Callithrix jacchus: one gene and its partners. The protein of the gene in region 1 purifies or fractionates together with the protein of each later gene. This does not show direct contact. Links are inferred from orthologs where the notes say so. Each region holds a gene or a part of one and is shown in the gene's direction. Other genes may lie near its edges. The genes, in order: FASLG, CASP8, SNX33 and SNX9.

What was found.
Region 2: the proteins of FASLG (region 1) and CASP8 purify together in Homo sapiens (co-immunoprecipitation; 8 studies listed by BioGRID and IntAct, with this or other methods). This does not show direct contact. The link is inferred for Callithrix jacchus from reciprocal best matches to the Homo sapiens genes FASLG and CASP8.
Region 3: the proteins of FASLG (region 1) and SNX33 purify together in Homo sapiens (co-immunoprecipitation; 3 studies listed by BioGRID and IntAct, counting the BioPlex papers as one, with this or other methods). This does not show direct contact. The link is inferred for Callithrix jacchus from reciprocal best matches to the Homo sapiens genes FASLG and SNX33.
Region 4: the proteins of FASLG (region 1) and SNX9 purify together in Homo sapiens (co-immunoprecipitation; 3 studies listed by BioGRID and IntAct, with this or other methods). This does not show direct contact. The link is inferred for Callithrix jacchus from reciprocal best matches to the Homo sapiens genes FASLG and SNX9.

What each region holds. Positions count from the first base shown.
Region 1 is NC_133519.1:30,108,623-30,112,631, reverse strand, and holds the start of FASLG (tumor necrosis factor ligand superfamily member 6), read left to right. Parts: upstream 1-1,152; 5' UTR 1,153-1,253; coding exon 1,254-1,598; intron 1,599-2,148; coding exon 2,149-2,194; intron 2,195-4,009. UniProt on the Homo sapiens protein: Cytokine that binds to TNFRSF6/FAS, a receptor that transduces the apoptotic signal into cells. Involved in cytotoxic T-cell-mediated apoptosis, natural killer cell-mediated apoptosis and in T-cell development.
Region 2 is NC_133507.1:122,364,723-122,368,285, forward strand, and holds part of CASP8 (caspase-8), read left to right. Parts: intron 1-1,068; coding exon 1,069-1,174; intron 1,175-2,226; coding exon 2,227-2,365; intron 2,366-2,486; coding exon 2,487-2,531; intron 2,532-3,563. UniProt on the Homo sapiens protein: Thiol protease that plays a key role in programmed cell death by acting as a molecular switch for apoptosis, necroptosis and pyroptosis, and is required to prevent tissue damage during embryonic development and adulthood.
Region 3 is NC_133509.1:22,572,076-22,576,191, forward strand, and holds the start of SNX33 (sorting nexin-33), read left to right. Parts: upstream 1-1,308; 5' UTR 1,309-2,482; coding exon 2,483-3,953; intron 3,954-4,116. UniProt on the Homo sapiens protein: Plays a role in the reorganization of the cytoskeleton, endocytosis and cellular vesicle trafficking via its interactions with membranes, WASL, DNM1 and DNM2. Acts both during interphase and at the end of mitotic cell divisions.
Region 4 is NC_133505.1:164,754,530-164,758,092, forward strand, and holds part of SNX9 (sorting nexin-9), read left to right. Parts: intron 1-552; coding exon 553-656; intron 657-2,193; coding exon 2,194-2,297; intron 2,298-3,563. UniProt on the Homo sapiens protein: Involved in endocytosis and intracellular vesicle trafficking, both during interphase and at the end of mitosis. Required for efficient progress through mitosis and cytokinesis. Required for normal formation of the cleavage furrow at the end of mitosis.

The sequences.
Region 1 (4,009 bases):
ACATTCTGATGTTTCAAAAGAGAATAGAAATATTTTTTTAATGTGTATTTAAAAATATATAATATTTTTAGTATCAATATTTAAAGTGGTCAGTTGGGCTGGCTGAGTGCAGTTGCTCATGTCTGTAATCCCAGCACTTTGGGAGACTGAAGCGGGAGGATCTCTAGAAGTCAGGAGGCTGAGACCAGCCTGGGCACCATAGCAAGTCCCCATCTCTACAAAAAAATAGAATAAATTAGTCAGGTGTAGTGACCTATGCCTATAATCCCAGATACTTGGGAGTCGAGGCAAGAGGACTGCTTGAGCCCAGGATTTTGAGGCTGCAGTGAACTATGGTAGCACCACTGCACTCCAGGCTGGGTGGCAGAGTGAGACTCTGTCTCTCTTTAAATAAATAAATAAATAAAGTGGGCAACCAATGAAAAGAAAAACATGTGAAATACAAAGCAGCTCTGTGGGTTCCACTGGTTTGCAGCCTCTGAGCTAATTTCTAAAGTGGGTGTAGCAGGTTTTTACTCTGTAAATTATGGTGATTTGCTGGTCAGGGTAGATGATACTTGTGTGTGGGGAAGGGATGATGGCAACAGATGTTTTCCTTTTGCAAAAAGTAAAATGTGGGAGTGACTTCTTTGGCCATGACTTCATGGTCTTTCACCTCAGAGCCATTTGCAGTAAAATTTATGGATTTAAAAATATGATTCTGAACAATTTTTGTTAGAGTTATTTTGGGATTTTAAAATAGTTTTTTGGTTGTATGTATTGTAGAATTCTTAAAATTATATAATGATAATTTATAAAAATGCATACGATTATAATTCATAAAATTATATCTCCACTGGCCATTCTCCTGTAGCTGGGAGAAGTTGACACCAACAGGGCTACATCCCAGTGCTGACCTGCTCTGCAGGACCCAAGGAAGGGGAGCACAGCCTACCAGCCTTTTTGGGTAGCCCAGCGACAGCACCTAGGGCTTCAAAGGCCTTCATAAGAAAATTGTGGGCGGAAACTTCCAAGGGGTTTGCTCTGAGCTTCTTGAGACTTCTCAGTTTCAGATGCAAAGTGAGTGGGCGTTTCTCTGAGAAGCAGAATGAGAGAGAGGTGTTTCCCTTAGCTATGGAAACTCTATAAGAGAGATCTAGCTTCCTTTCTCTTGAGCAGTCAGCAACAGGAGTCCTGTCCTTGACGCCTCAGCCTCTACAGGATTAGGAAGAAATAAGACCATTTGCTGGGGCTGGCTGGAGTCACCGGCTGCCATGCAGCAGCCCTTCAATTACCCATATCCCCAGATCTACTGGGTGGACAGCAGTGCCAGCTCTCCCTGGGCCCCTCCAGGCACAGTGCTTCCCTGTCCAACCTCTGTGCCCAGAAGGCCTGGCCAAAGGAGACCACCGCCGCCGCCACCACCGCCGCCACTACCACCTCCACCACCGCCACCATTGCCTCCATTACCACTGCCACCCCTGAAGAAGGGAGGGACCCACAGCACAGGCCTGTGTCTCCTTGTGATGTTTTTCATGGTTCTGGTTGCCTTGGTAGGATTGGGACTGGGGATGTTTCAGCTCTTCCACCTTCAGAAGGAGCTGGCAGAACTCCGAGAGGTAAGCCTGCTGGTGGACTGCCGTGCCCTGGAGGCACCTGGCATAAGGGGGTGCAGGGCCCACTGCCTGGCTTGCCAAGTGCTTTTCAGTTCTTTTTTTTTTCCTTAGAAATGGGTTGTTCTAGTTATTCTATTCTATAGGCAGAGAAATGGAGGTTCACATGAGTGAGGGGAATATTTTTTGTTTCGTAAAGCATCAGAGCCCAACAGTTTTCTTTTCCTCATGTGTCAACTCAGTCTGTTGAACCACTTCCTGCCTCATACCTAGTGATTCAAGGAGTAACAAACAAACCAAACTTTTAAGTTTTGCTTGGAAGTAAATTTGTTCAGATGACCAAACTGAATCTTGAAAGTACTTAAAATATTGATATGATTCCAAATCACAAAACTGGGGGACAGTGAGGCAAAATTGCTTGGACAAAGCCTGAGTTAACAAAAGTTCTGAGGTATTTGGATTCTTTTTCCAGGGCTTGGTTTATTTGACAATTCTGCCTCTTTTGCTTAAAGAGTTTTATTTTTTTTATACATCTTTTCTCTTTCTCTTTTACTAGTCTGCCAGCCAGAGGCATGCAGTATCGTCTGTGGAGAAGCAAATAGGTGAGTCCTTTTTTTGTGGGTACAATGAGTTCCCAAAGATGATCCTCAGCACTGAACTATGTTAATGGAATGCCTTATATTCTGTCCTACACTTTGGCTTATGTATGCTATGAGAGGAGTTCTGGCTGATTCTGAATTTCTGGTCAATATGATTCCTCGAGCTGCTTTAAAAATGTGAAGTCAATTGAATTGCTCACAATCAGTATAGCTGAGCACAGCACACAATTCAAAATCACTTTCACTTGACTTTGGAGACACACATACACAACTTGGACCTTTGCCCCCTGAGGAAGGTCTGTCGCATTCCACAGGCATCTTGGTTGTGGCACACATGCCAGTGGCTTTGACTCCTGGGAAGAGAAGGCGAGGTGAAGGCAGAGATAGATGTTTCTCAGAAACGTCCTCTCCTCTTTTAAACTCTCTAAAGAGATTACAGTGAAGCTTAATTTATAAACTATTTTATAGGATGTATGCTTTTAATGAGGATAATCAATTGCCCACAATAGGATGGTTTTTCTTGAAGTCACTGAGTAGCTTAGGGGAAGACTTCAGCCATCATTCAAAGGACATTCAGCTTCACCCACAGAGACGGTCATGAGGTACCCTTGATCACAAAGGAAAACCCTTTGTATGGGAGCTAGGACAAGAAGATGACATGTTGAACACTGATCTCATGAAATGTCAGGGCATAGTTTTGCAAGCTCTGTACAGATAGATTTTACGGCACACTTCACTAGTCTAAGGTTCACTGAAATTTCAGATTTAGATTTACAATGCGATTCATTGAATTTTTAGAGTTGGAAGGAAGCTTAGAATATATCTAGTCCAGTCATTCTGTCTTTTGGAAGAGAAACAAAATACCAGACAGATTAGGTGAACACGCCCAAGAACACTGGTCTGGAACTGGGGCTGGAAGGAACACGGGCTCTTGATGCCTTGTCACCTACAGGGCTTTCCAGCACATGGACTGGTGCCTCATCAAGTAGGGAAACTCCTGACTGTAGTGACCATGGAATGAGAAATAGATGAAAAGCAGAATACCTCTGCAAAGAGAATAGGTAAATCTCATCCTTAGAAACTCAGAAGCAAGCAGAAGGCAGCACTGGCCAAGAAGTGGAGCAAGTTCCCATTTCTCTGGATGTGGCTACTGCAGGCAACCCAGTCGCCTGTCTGCTATCCCAGATTGTTAGGTTCTTGTAGGAGCCACTGTTGGATGCTCTGGCTCCTGTGTCTGTGTCCTAATCCTTATATGTTAGAACTTCCACATGTACACAAGCAGAGTGGAAATATTTGTTAAAAAAATAAAGCCTCTGGAGGATGTCTTAAATAAGATCATTTTGAAAATCTGTGGAATGTGCCTGGTCTGATAGGTACCTAATTATTCATATTTCACCCACTCTTGAGTCAGTTTAGTGATTAAAAGTCAAATGATCAGATGAGTCAGGTCTATCTGCCTGGTAAGCAATTATCTTCTCTAGATGGACCAGAAATTGGTAAATTATCACATGGCTAATAAGAAAAGAGATTCAAATTAATATAATGCAAATTAAAAATAGGAAATATCAAGTTTTCATCAAATTGGTAAAAATTAAAAAAAAGCACAAATTGACAAAGATTTGAGAGAAAAGAGCCTGTTCAAACATTTGTTTCAGCCAGTGTACATGTAAATTGCTATAGCTTTCTCTGAAGAGCACTTTGGATATACAATCAAAAGCTTGGAACTAATAGTTTACGTTGTAATCCCATAGCTAAGAATTTATCTTAAGAAAATAATCAGAGATGTGCCTGTGCCTGAAGATTTACATATAAGGATAT
Region 2 (3,563 bases), on another chromosome or scaffold:
CACCAATAGCCTGGGTCCTCTGTACTCAAACATTGCACCTCACAACCCTCTGGGTTAATGAAAACAAAAAGGGCATGGACCTGGCCATTAGGGACTTGGACAGTTTCTAAACAGACAATTATTTTTTGTTTTTATTTTTATTTTATTTTTAGTGCAGTGGCATGATCACAGCTCACTGCAGTGTCAACCTCTTGGGCTCAAGTGATCTTCCCACCTCATCCTCAGGAGTAGCTAGGACCATGGGTGCATGCCATCACACCTGGCTGATTTTTAAACATTTTTGGTAGAGATGGGAACTTGCTATGTTGCCCAGGCTGGTCTCAAACCCCTGGGCTCAAGCGATCTTCTTCTTGCCTTGGCCTCCTAATGTGCTGGAATTATAGGTGTGAACCACTGTACCAGGCCAAAAGACAATTATATGTGTTATCCTTCTGGGGATACTAAGTCATAGTGGAATGAATGCAGCCTTGAGGATGCTCAGGCAATGCTTGAGCTGTTGTTCATGGATGGGTGTCTGCGGATAGACAAGGGGATGGGGTGTGGGGGCACAGCAGAAAGGGGTGAGGGCAGGGCAAGCTGGGTGTGTTTGGAGCTTCAGGTCCTTTAGTGTTTGTGGTCTGGTCTGTGATAAAGATGTATTCAGAGACTTTGTATTCCAGAACCAAATGCTTGGCCTTCTTACCGAAGGTAATGACTGGGAGAACACTGACCAATTTTAGTTAGCGATGCCACAGGCCAATGTGTCCTTTGAAAACTTTTTGCTGTTGCAACAAAATCTTGATTTCATAGAAAAAAAATAAAGGAAAACAAGATTAATTTAACTAAAATAAACTGAAAGAAAAGTTGATAGAACTTTAAATTGTTAAGGGTGGGATAGTTGGGGAGGAGTCGTAGACTTCTGTGTCGCTATATACCTGCCTCTTTCCAAGGACTCAACTCGTAAACCATGCCATTAACTGGCTTTATTTTGAAGGGAGGCCTTTGGAATCAAGCCCACTCTGACTCCATATATCAAATGGGACATTACTTAGGAAAAGGTTTCTAAAGTGTCTCCATTTCCCACCACAGGGTCATGCTCTATCAGATTTCAGAAGATGTGAGCAGATCAGAATTGAGGTCTTTTAAGTTTCTTTTGAAAAAGGAGATCTCCAAATGCAAACTGGATGATGACATGGTAAGATCTGGTATCTTACTGAGATTTAGTCCCGAAACTTGGTTAGCCAGGGACATTTCTGAGACCAAAGTGAGGGGCTATTTTGGTAAAAGCAACCTGGATTCTCACTTTTTAACTAGAATAAGAAAGCTGTCAGCACAAGTGTTACAAATGTGCTTCCTTTATCCTCAAGTACTGCTCCTGTTAATTACTGGTAGCAAGGTTGAGTCAGGGGCTGGGAGAGGAGGCTGTTGTGCAAGGGGCAGCCCAGAGTGAGACTCGGCAGAGGCGAGAGGGACAGTGGTGATCTGAGACATTTCCCCACTTCTGCAGTCCCCAGAATAACCTGGGACCTGGAACTCTGGGTGTATATTGTGTCTGTGTGTGTGTTTGTGTTTTGTGTCTCTGTGTGTGTTGTGTATGTCTGTATGCTGTGTGTGTATCTCTGTGTCTGTGTGTGCCTTTCTCTGTGTATGGTGTGTGTCTGTATTTGTGCGTGGTGTATCTTTGTGTGTCTCTGTATAAGTGGTGTATCTCTGTGTGTTCTCTCTGTGGTATGTGTGTCTGTGTGCATGTTGCATAGTGTGTATTTGCATTTATGTCTCTGTGTGTGTATCACTGAATGTTGTCTGTGTGTGTTGTGTGCATCTGTGTGTGTATGTTCATGTGATATCTGCATCTATGTGTCTTTGTGTACTCAGTTCTGGAGAGGCAATGTTGGGGGTGAGGCCATCCCAAGGCTGTCACCATGGTGACTGGATTGCTGTCTAGGACTGTTTCACAGTCCTCAGGTAATGCATTCATAGGAGATTTGAGCTCAGGGCCTGGGGACTGGGTGACATCTGACATGGCTTCTCCTTTATCCTCTTACTTCTGTCTTTCTGGGCCAGAAAACATGGGATTGCTTACCTAGCAGCCTGCTGGCTATGAGAGGCCAGCAGAAACTGTCAGGAGGTCTGCTTGGGAAGAAAGGGCAGGTCCTTGGTTGGAGAAAGTGGAAGTTTAAAAAGAATCTAATCTAAAAACCAGTGGAGCTCAATCCAGACTCCCAACTTTATTTCTTCTCCTCCTAGAACCTGCTGGATATTTTCATAGAGATGGAGAAGAGGGTCATCCTGGGAGAAGAAAAGTTGGATGTCCTGAAAAGAGTCTGTGACCAAATCAACAAGAGCCTGCTGAAGATAATCAACGACTATGAAGAATTCAGCAGAGGTAGAAACAACTTGACAGCCGGGAATCGGCAAAACCTACTGTAAAATTGAAACTGACAAATCCCTCCATGTCACAGTTGTTTCTAATCAAGTACTGTTGTTGGTTTCCTCTTTTAATTCAGAGAGAAGAATGAGCCTTGAAAGAAGTTCAGATGAATCTTCAAATGGTAATGCTTGGAGATATATTTTCAAGGTTTATTTAGTTAATTTACTCTCTGGTACCTGCGTGTTTCCTCCCCACAACCTTCTACCACATGCACTGCTCTCTCTCTCTTTTTTTTTTTTGAGACTGAGTCTTGCTCTGTCACCCTGGCTGGAGTGTAGTGACATGATTACTGCAACCTCCACCTCCCAGGTTCAAGCGATTGTCCTGCCTCAGCCTCCTGAATAGCTGGGATTACAGACATGCACCACCAAGCCCAGCTAATTTTGTATTTTTGGTAGAGATTGGGTTTCATCATGTTGGCCAGGCTGGTCTTGAACTCCTGACCTCAGGTGATCTGCCTGCCTTGGCCTCCCAAAGTGCTGGGATTACAGGCATCAGCCACCACGCCTAGCCATGCCTACTCTCCTAATACCAGGATAACAGTTCACTGGTGACTTGTAGTCCTTCTCTATACATTGAATAATGTGAAAAGTTGTCACAAGGCACAGACTCTGCAGCCCAGGCTGGCAAGTTTGAAATAGGTGCAGAGTTAGTCAGTAATAAGTAATTGAACATCATTTTTTCTGTGTGTGTGTGTGTGTGTGTGTTTGTCCCTGACATGTGCTGCTTGTGTTATGCACTGAGTAGCTGGATTTAAATTATTTTCCATAAGTTCCTTGGTTAAATGATCTCCTTCAAAATTTTGATTAATCAATTTTTTTTTTTTGAGTCAGTGTCTCATTCTGTTTCCAGGCTGGAGTGCAGTGGTGTAATCTTGGCTCACGATAGCCTCGACCTCCCTGACTCAAACAATCCTCTGGCCTCAACCCCCTGAGTAGCTGGGACCACAGGAACATGCCACCATGCCTGGCTAATTTTTGTATTTCTTGTAGAAATGGGGTTTTGCTATGTTGCCCAGGCTGGTCTTGAACTCCTGGGCTCAAGCCGCCCACCTACCTGGGCCTCTGAAAGTGCTGGGACTATAGGCGATTAATCAAGTATGCTTTCTGATTAGAGTGATTGAAGATGATTTTAAATTCAGAGAAATGTTTAC
Region 3 (4,116 bases), on another chromosome or scaffold:
TTTTCATGGCACTAGTCACACCGGGCAGGGAGCATCTGTTTGCTTGTCACAATACACCTGAGCTTTTGGAAGGTAAGGATAATGTCTTATTTCTTTGTGGCTCAGGGGCCTGGTGCAGAGTAGGTAGGTACTCAATGTTTCTTGAGTGTCTAACTTGACTGAATGAATGAATGAGACAGAATGGATTGATTAAAGACAAGACAGGGTGGACTGTAAGCCCTCCAGGGTGGGAACCCCGACTGCCTGTGATGTACTCCCCAGTGCTCAGCACAGTGCCTAGCAGAGTCAGTGCCGGAAGTGTTCCAGATACACTGACCCAGGGTCAGACCCCACTTGCCTCTTCTCTAAGATTCTCTACCCGACCACCTCTCCTTGCTGCTGCTGGCTGTGACAGAACATGCAGTCCCTGCTGCCCACTCAGCAACCCAGAACCGGGTCGCACCTAGACTTGTTCCCTGTCGCTGCAGATGTAGGGTAGTCTGTTCCCCACTACCCCCCCACCCCCCCCGCCGCCCCAGCCCAGGTAGTCGCCCAGGGCAGGGTCTCCCGGTCTGCTAGGGTGCTGCACCCGCAGCTATCGGTCTCTTAGGTCAGATGCCGGGAAGCGCAGGCGGTTTCTGCCCCTCCGGAAAACAGTCTCCGAGCTGCGCCACCATCCCGTCTCGGCGGAGCAGGAGTGGGGAATGGGAAGGTGGGAAGGCGAGTCCGCGACTCTGCTCCCCCACCCCAGCTGGCGCAGCTTTCCACGCACCCCCCGATCGCCCGATCCTGGCTCTGGCGGGTGCTCCTTGCAGCCCCACGCTTTGCAAACTTTCTGAGTTTTACTCCATTTGCGTCACGGAAAAGGCAGGAGGATGACGGAGTCCAGGAAGCGAGGCAGCGGCGGCTGGCACGCTCCCCCGCCGGGCGCTCCAATCATGGGGGCGTGAGGTGTCTCCGGCGAAGGCCCACAAGCAAAGGGAGAGCCGGAGAGGCGGCGGTCCCAGGGAGCAGCCCCGGAGGCTCTCGGGCCCCCTGGTTCCCGGGTCGTCTCCTCCCTCTCGCCTTCCTGACTGAGCGCCAGTGAGCCAGGGCGCCGGCCAGATGGGAAGCCGCGCGGAGGAGTAGGCGGGGGCTCGGCTGTAGCGCCCCGGGCCCGCGGGAGGGCGGAGCCGGCCGTCCCTGCCCCGCTGGGACGCACGGAAGCGCGGCGGAGTTTGCCCGAGTCTCCAGCCTGCTTTCCCCTCCCTCCTCCCTCTCCCCACCCCTCACCTCCCCTTCGGCTATCCCCTCCTTCCTCAGGACGCCACCTCCCGGAATCGCCTTTTTGTTTTGGAGCTGCCGTCTCGCTGGCGGCGCCTAGGGTCTGCGAGCGCGGGGGAAGGCCGGCTGGGGGCGCAGCCCGCCCCCCACTGACTGGGCCCCGCGAGGCCGAGCAGAGGACGGACGGACGGCCCCGCCATCTGCTCGCCGGGGCTCACTCTCCAAACTCCTGTTGAGTGTTTGTGTGCACGCGAGGGTGGGGGGCGGGGGGCGTACGTCCCGGGGGCGGGACCGGTTTCTGCTGGGGTTACCTTTGGACGGGGTTCCTGGGATTCAGAGCAGGGTCAGCGTCAGGCTCAGAAACTGCTGAGGAATTGGGCAAACAAAAGAGACCACTCAGCGAGTGGCCAGAAGTCGCCGGAGCGCCTCGTCGCGCCCCCTCCCTCCTCCGGGGTTGGAGCTGGCCACTTTTGGGGCGGGGAGAGGGCGCCCGAGCTGGCGGGGGCTCCGGCTGCGCAGCCGGGGTCGAAGAGTTGGCGGCCTGTTGTGTAAGCCTCAGTCCTTGTTTTCCCGGCCTGGCTCGTTGTGAAGCCGGACACATCACCCTTGGACTCGATTCAGGAGGCTGCTGCTTTTCTCCTTGCCCCTCTTTGATTTTCCGGATTTTTGAAAACCCAGTGGCCCAGGAGCAAGAGGAGGAGGAAGGAGGAAGGGGCAGATCTGCAGAGGAATGTGAGAGCCTCCCAAAGCCAGAGCGGCCAAAAGGATCTGGGAGCCAGTGGGACAGCCGAGCCCTGCCCGGGTTTCTGGAATGGTGATTTCCGAGTGAGTCTCTTCTATTTTAGAGCGTTGTTCCAGTGGAAAGTGTAGAATTCTTCCCCTTGCAGAGCAGGTTTCTTCAGGTCACTTGATTTTTCTGCTGGGAGTGGGAGGAAGGAGAGACTCCCTTCTAACTCCCTGGGGGCTGATAAGGGAGGAGGAGACTGGACATGAGCCCTCCCTGCTCACAGACCTATGCCCGAAGACCTGATAGGGCAATTTCTGGGCCATGGACATTGCTTTGAAGAGCAGGAGGCTGGACAGCATCTGTGGGTGCTGAGACCCCACCTTAGGGCCTGAGAGGCAGGCTGAGCTGTGTGAGTGGCATCAGCCGCGAGTACGTTCCTGGACGTCCTTGTGAGCATCCCGGGTCTGGGCAGGACCCCCTTCTTCCCATCTTTCTTCACCACCCAGCCCAGCCATGGCACTGAAAGGCCGAGCCCTCTATGACTTTCACAGTGAGAACAAGGAGGAAATCAGCATCCAGCAGGATGAGGACCTGGTCATCTTTAGTGAGACCTCTCTGGATGGCTGGCTGCAGGGCCAGAACAGTCGTGGGGAGACAGGGCTCTTTCCTGCGTCTTATGTGGAGATTGTCCGTTCCGGCATCAGTACAAACCATGCTGACTATTCCAGCAGCCCTGCAGGCTCTCCCGGGACCCAGGTGAGCTTATACAATAGCAACACTGTGGCCAGCCCAGCCAGGAGTGGTGGGGGCAGCGGCTTCCTCTCAAACCAGGGTAGCTTCGAGGAGGATGATGATGATGACTGGGATGACTGGGACGACGGATGCACGGTGGTGGAGGAGCCACGGGCTGGTGGGCTGGGCACCAACGGGCACCCTCCCCTCAACCTCTCCTACCCTGGTGCCTACCCCAGCCAGCACATGGCCTTCCGGCCCAAGCCACCGCTGGAGCGGCAGGACAGCCTGGCATCTGCCAAGCGAGGCAGTGTGGTGGGCCGTAACCTCAACCGTTTCTCATGCTTTGTGCGTTCTGGAGTGGAGGCCTTCATCCTGGGTGATGTGCCCATCATGGCCAAGATCGCTGAGACATACTCCATTGAAATGGGCCCTCGTGGCCCCCAGTGGAAGGCCAACCCCCACCCATTTGCCTGCTCTGTGGAGGACCCCACCAAACAGACCAAGTTCAAGGGCATCAAAAGCTACATCTCCTACAAGCTCACACCCACCCATGCTGCCTCACCGGTCTACCGGCGCTACAAACACTTTGACTGGCTCTATAACCGCCTGCTACACAAGTTCACTGTCATCTCGGTGCCCCACCTGCCTGAGAAGCAGGCCACAGGCCGCTTCGAGGAGGACTTCATTGAAAAGCGGAAGCGGAGACTCATCCTCTGGATGGACCACATGACCAGCCACCCTGTGCTCTCCCAGTACGAAGGCTTCCAGCATTTCCTCAGCTGCCTGGATGACAAGCAGTGGAAGATGGGGAAACGCCGGGCGGAGAAGGATGAGATGGTGGGTGCCAGCTTCCTGCTCACCTTCCAGATCCCCACGGAGCACCAGGACCTGCAGGACGTGGAAGATCGCGTGGACGCCTTCAAGGCCTTCAGTAAGAAGATGGACGACAGCGTCCTGCAGCTCAGCACTGTGGCGTCAGAGCTGGTGCGCAAACATGTTGGGGGCTTCCGCAAGGAATTCCAGAAGCTGGGCAGTGCCTTCCAGGCCATCAGTTATTCCTTCCAGATGGACCCCCCCTTTTGCTCTGAGGCCCTCAATAGTGCCATTTCTCACACGGGCCGCACCTATGAAGCCATCGGTGAGATGTTTGCTGAGCAGCCCAAGAATGACCTCTTCCAGATGCTGGACACGCTGTCTCTCTACCAGGGCCTGCTCTCCAACTTCCCTGACATCATCCACCTGCAGAAAGGTAAGGCCCAGTGCAGGCGGGACACCCATCCTGAGTCTGGCTCTCTGCTGGGCCCTGGGGAGAAGGGGATGGCCTGGATAGAATGGAGCAACTCGTCTTTATTTCTCTCTCAGTCATTCATTTAACAAATGTGTTGGGCTGGGCACGGTGGCTCACACTTGTA
Region 4 (3,563 bases), on another chromosome or scaffold:
GAGGCCGAGGTGAGCAGATTGCTTCAGCCCAGGAGTTCCTGACCAGCCTGGCTAACATGGCAAAACCCCATCTCTACAAAAAATACAAAAATTAGCCAGGCATGGGGGCGCATGCCTAACGGCCCAGCTACTTGGGGGGCTGAGGTGGGAGGATCACTTGAACCTGGGAGTTCAAGGGTACAGTAAGCTGAGATCACACCACTGCACTCCAGCCTTGCGGGCATAGTGAGACCCTTTCTCAGGAAAAAAAAAAGTATAGGGTGTTTCTATTTGCCGTATTTATGTAGGTAGCCATTGGAAAGGGAACATGGCTGAATTGGTTCGAAAAGACTTGGTCCCATGAGGGCCGTTCTGTGGCATGACACTGTTTGTGCCCTAAGATGACATTTGGGGTATAAAGGCATTTAGCCCATGGTGCAGAGGGAGATAGAGGGGAGCTGCTTCCTGAAATTAGGAAGACAAAGGTGATCACTGAACTGGTCTTGTTTGGGAATTTTGGAGACCAGTTTGACTGTGCTCTCCACTTGAACCTTACCACATTCTCATTTACAGGAATGGAAAACTGGAAAGAGGAAGGCCGAGAGAGATGAGCTGGCGGGAGTCATGGTATTTTCCACCATGGAGCCAGAGGCACCTGACTTGGACCTAGTAGAAATGTGAGAGGCGCTGCCAGGTTTTCCTTTTCCTCAATCCACAACCTCCTTTGGCTTTCAGGCCTCAACCAGGATAGCCGCAGCTGAAACTCAAATTGTCAGACTAGAGTTTTAGGAAATAAGTGGGCTTTGTAGTCCAATGACAAGGGAAATATCGCTTGTACATAGAAGTACTGTCTTTCTAACCATAACATCAGATTAAACTTCTTTTACCTTGAAGCCAGTGACTTCGTAGTTGACGGTGTTGAGTAGTGTTTCCAATAGTGTGATGAAACCAGGCGGCACGGAGCCGCCTAAAACCCACACAGTATTCAGACAGCAAATCTCTTTGAACATGGCCTTGAGGAGGCAGTCTCTAACCTGCTTTTTCTATGTGGTTTTTTGTTAATCTATTGATTTTATTATTTAGTTTTTAAATACAGGCTCAGTTGAAACTTTGGAGTAGTTCCTTTTCTATTAAGGACTTATAAGAAATTTGTGTTTTTTAATTTTAAGCTTTTTTATCATAAAATTATTGCGTATGTGTTACCAAAAGTATAGACAAGAAACACACACACACACACACACACACACACACACACACACACACACACAAACATAACCCTTCAACCACCCAGAGAGAAAATCAGTGTTAATATGTTAGTGTATAGTCTCCCAAGTCCTCCTCTGTACACAATTACAGGAAAGATTGTTTAAACAGAAATGACCTCACACTCTCCATTTTGTTTTATAATCTGCTTTTCTCATCTAACAGTATTGTGATCTTTTCAGGTTGGTAAATACGCTTTGACATCCTTGTTAAGAACTGGTACCTTGGGCCGGGTGCGGTGGCTCACACCTGTAATCCCAGCACTTTGGGAGGCCGAGACGGGTGGATCACGAGGTCAAGAGATCGAGACCATCCTGGTCAACAAGGTGAAACCCCGTCTCTACTAAAAATACAAAAATTAGCTGGGCATGGTGGCGTGTGCCTGTAATCCCAGCTACTCAGGAGGCTGAGGCAGGAGAATTGCCTGAACCCAGGAGGTGGAGGTTGCAGTGAGCCAAGATCGCGCCGTTGCACTCCCGCCTGGGTAACAAAAGCGAAACTCCGTCTCAAAAAAGAAAAGAACTGGTACCTTTAGGGTCACTTAGCTGATTATGCATCCAGGTTTTTGTCTATTTCGTGGAGTACTTGGAATGAGTGACCAGCTGGCATTAGCAACCCCGTTATTCTTTTATAGATTTGATGGTCCCTCCAGTGATTAGAATTTTACTAAATGAGATATTCAAGAAGTTATTATTTACTTTAGAATAATTATAATTAAAATTCACAAAGAATTGAAGAGGAAGAAAGGAAGCAAAGTTAAAATAATAACTGCTTTTTAAGTAGTTCTTCAAACGTCTGTATCAAGCCTGTATTTAAGGCTAACTTAGTGCCAGGGCAGTTGTTACCATGCAGGAGAACAAGTGTCTGTGGTTATGTTTGGCCTACGTGTCCCTGATCGACAGCAGTGCTGTTTCTCCTGCTCATGTGACTGATGGCTGCCTTTGCCCACAGAGAGCAGAAGTGCGAGGCCGTCGGGAAGTTCACCAAGGCCATGGATGATGGTGTGAAGGAGCTGCTGACCGTGGGGCAGGAGCACTGGAAACGGTGCACAGGGCGTAAGTCCACTCCTCACAGCCGATTGGGCTGTAGGTGGTGATGCAGGCTCAGTTTTGTGTCCCTGATCATAGAGGGAACCTGATGCCTTGAACAGAAATGTGTTTGGTGGATGGCAGTAACGTCCCTCCTGTGACTGCTTAACCTCACTTCACCCAAGTTAAACCACAAAAAAATTGACTAACAAAGCCAGGTTAAGAAGTCTCATAAGGAACACCATGTTCACTTAATTAGGTCCAGTAATTTAGGGCTTTATAATCTTCGGAAAATTTATCATTTTTGCCTGTTTTGAGAGTGCTTGTCACTATATTTAGTCTCATTTTATTTTTAATCTTCATTTGGTAAGATGTTGTATATTTGACTAAAGCCATAATTTTTAAGGAAAAAAAAAGTATAGTTAGTTATAGAAAATATGTCAGAGCAGAAGCACTGCCGAGGGGAGGGTGTCACTATGAGTCCCGGCTTTCTGCCCACGCTGCCCTGTCCCTGAGAGCTTCCTGCCTCCCTCTTTTTCCTTTGTGTGTAGGCTGTGGTTCTGCTGAACGTTTTTCCTGTATTCCCCAGAACTATGCAGCTTTGTCGCCACACATGTGGCCCAGGATAGAAAAACAGTCATGTATCCAGCTGTGGGGCTAATGCTGCGGGCTGCTGCCCTGTTACCCCCTCAGGCACAGAGGCTGCAGAATGACTTGTCAGGCCCTGAAATGCTGGGATCCCACTGCTGTTGAATGCCCAGATGTCTTTGACTACCATAGAGTACTAGAACTTTCCTCTCCTTTCTGTCTGGTCCGCCCTTGTTGCTATGTCTCAACCTCTGGAGAAAAGGGACTTCTAATCTATCACTAAGAATTTTCTGGCCTTCACCTCCTAACACTGTACAGAAATATTAGTTATATTCCATTTTAAAAATTTTTAATGGTTTATACTTTGAATTATGAGTAATATATATCAGCCCTTTGATGCTCAGCAGAGGAAAAGAGATCTGTTAATTTTTTTTAAGGTGGGGTTTTTATACTAAAGGAAAACAGTCAGAATTTGAAATCCAATAATAATTTTGAAGAGCAGAAAACTAAATGTGGAATGACTCATAGATGAATTAGTAAGATAGCACAGGAAAGACAATGGCAATATTACTGTTCATTCAATCCAGATCTGAAAATCCAAAGCCTTACATCAGGAGTCAGCAAACTATAGCCGGAGGGCCAAATATGGCTTGCCACCTATTTTGTAAATAAAGTTTTATTGGAACACACCCATACCCATTTATT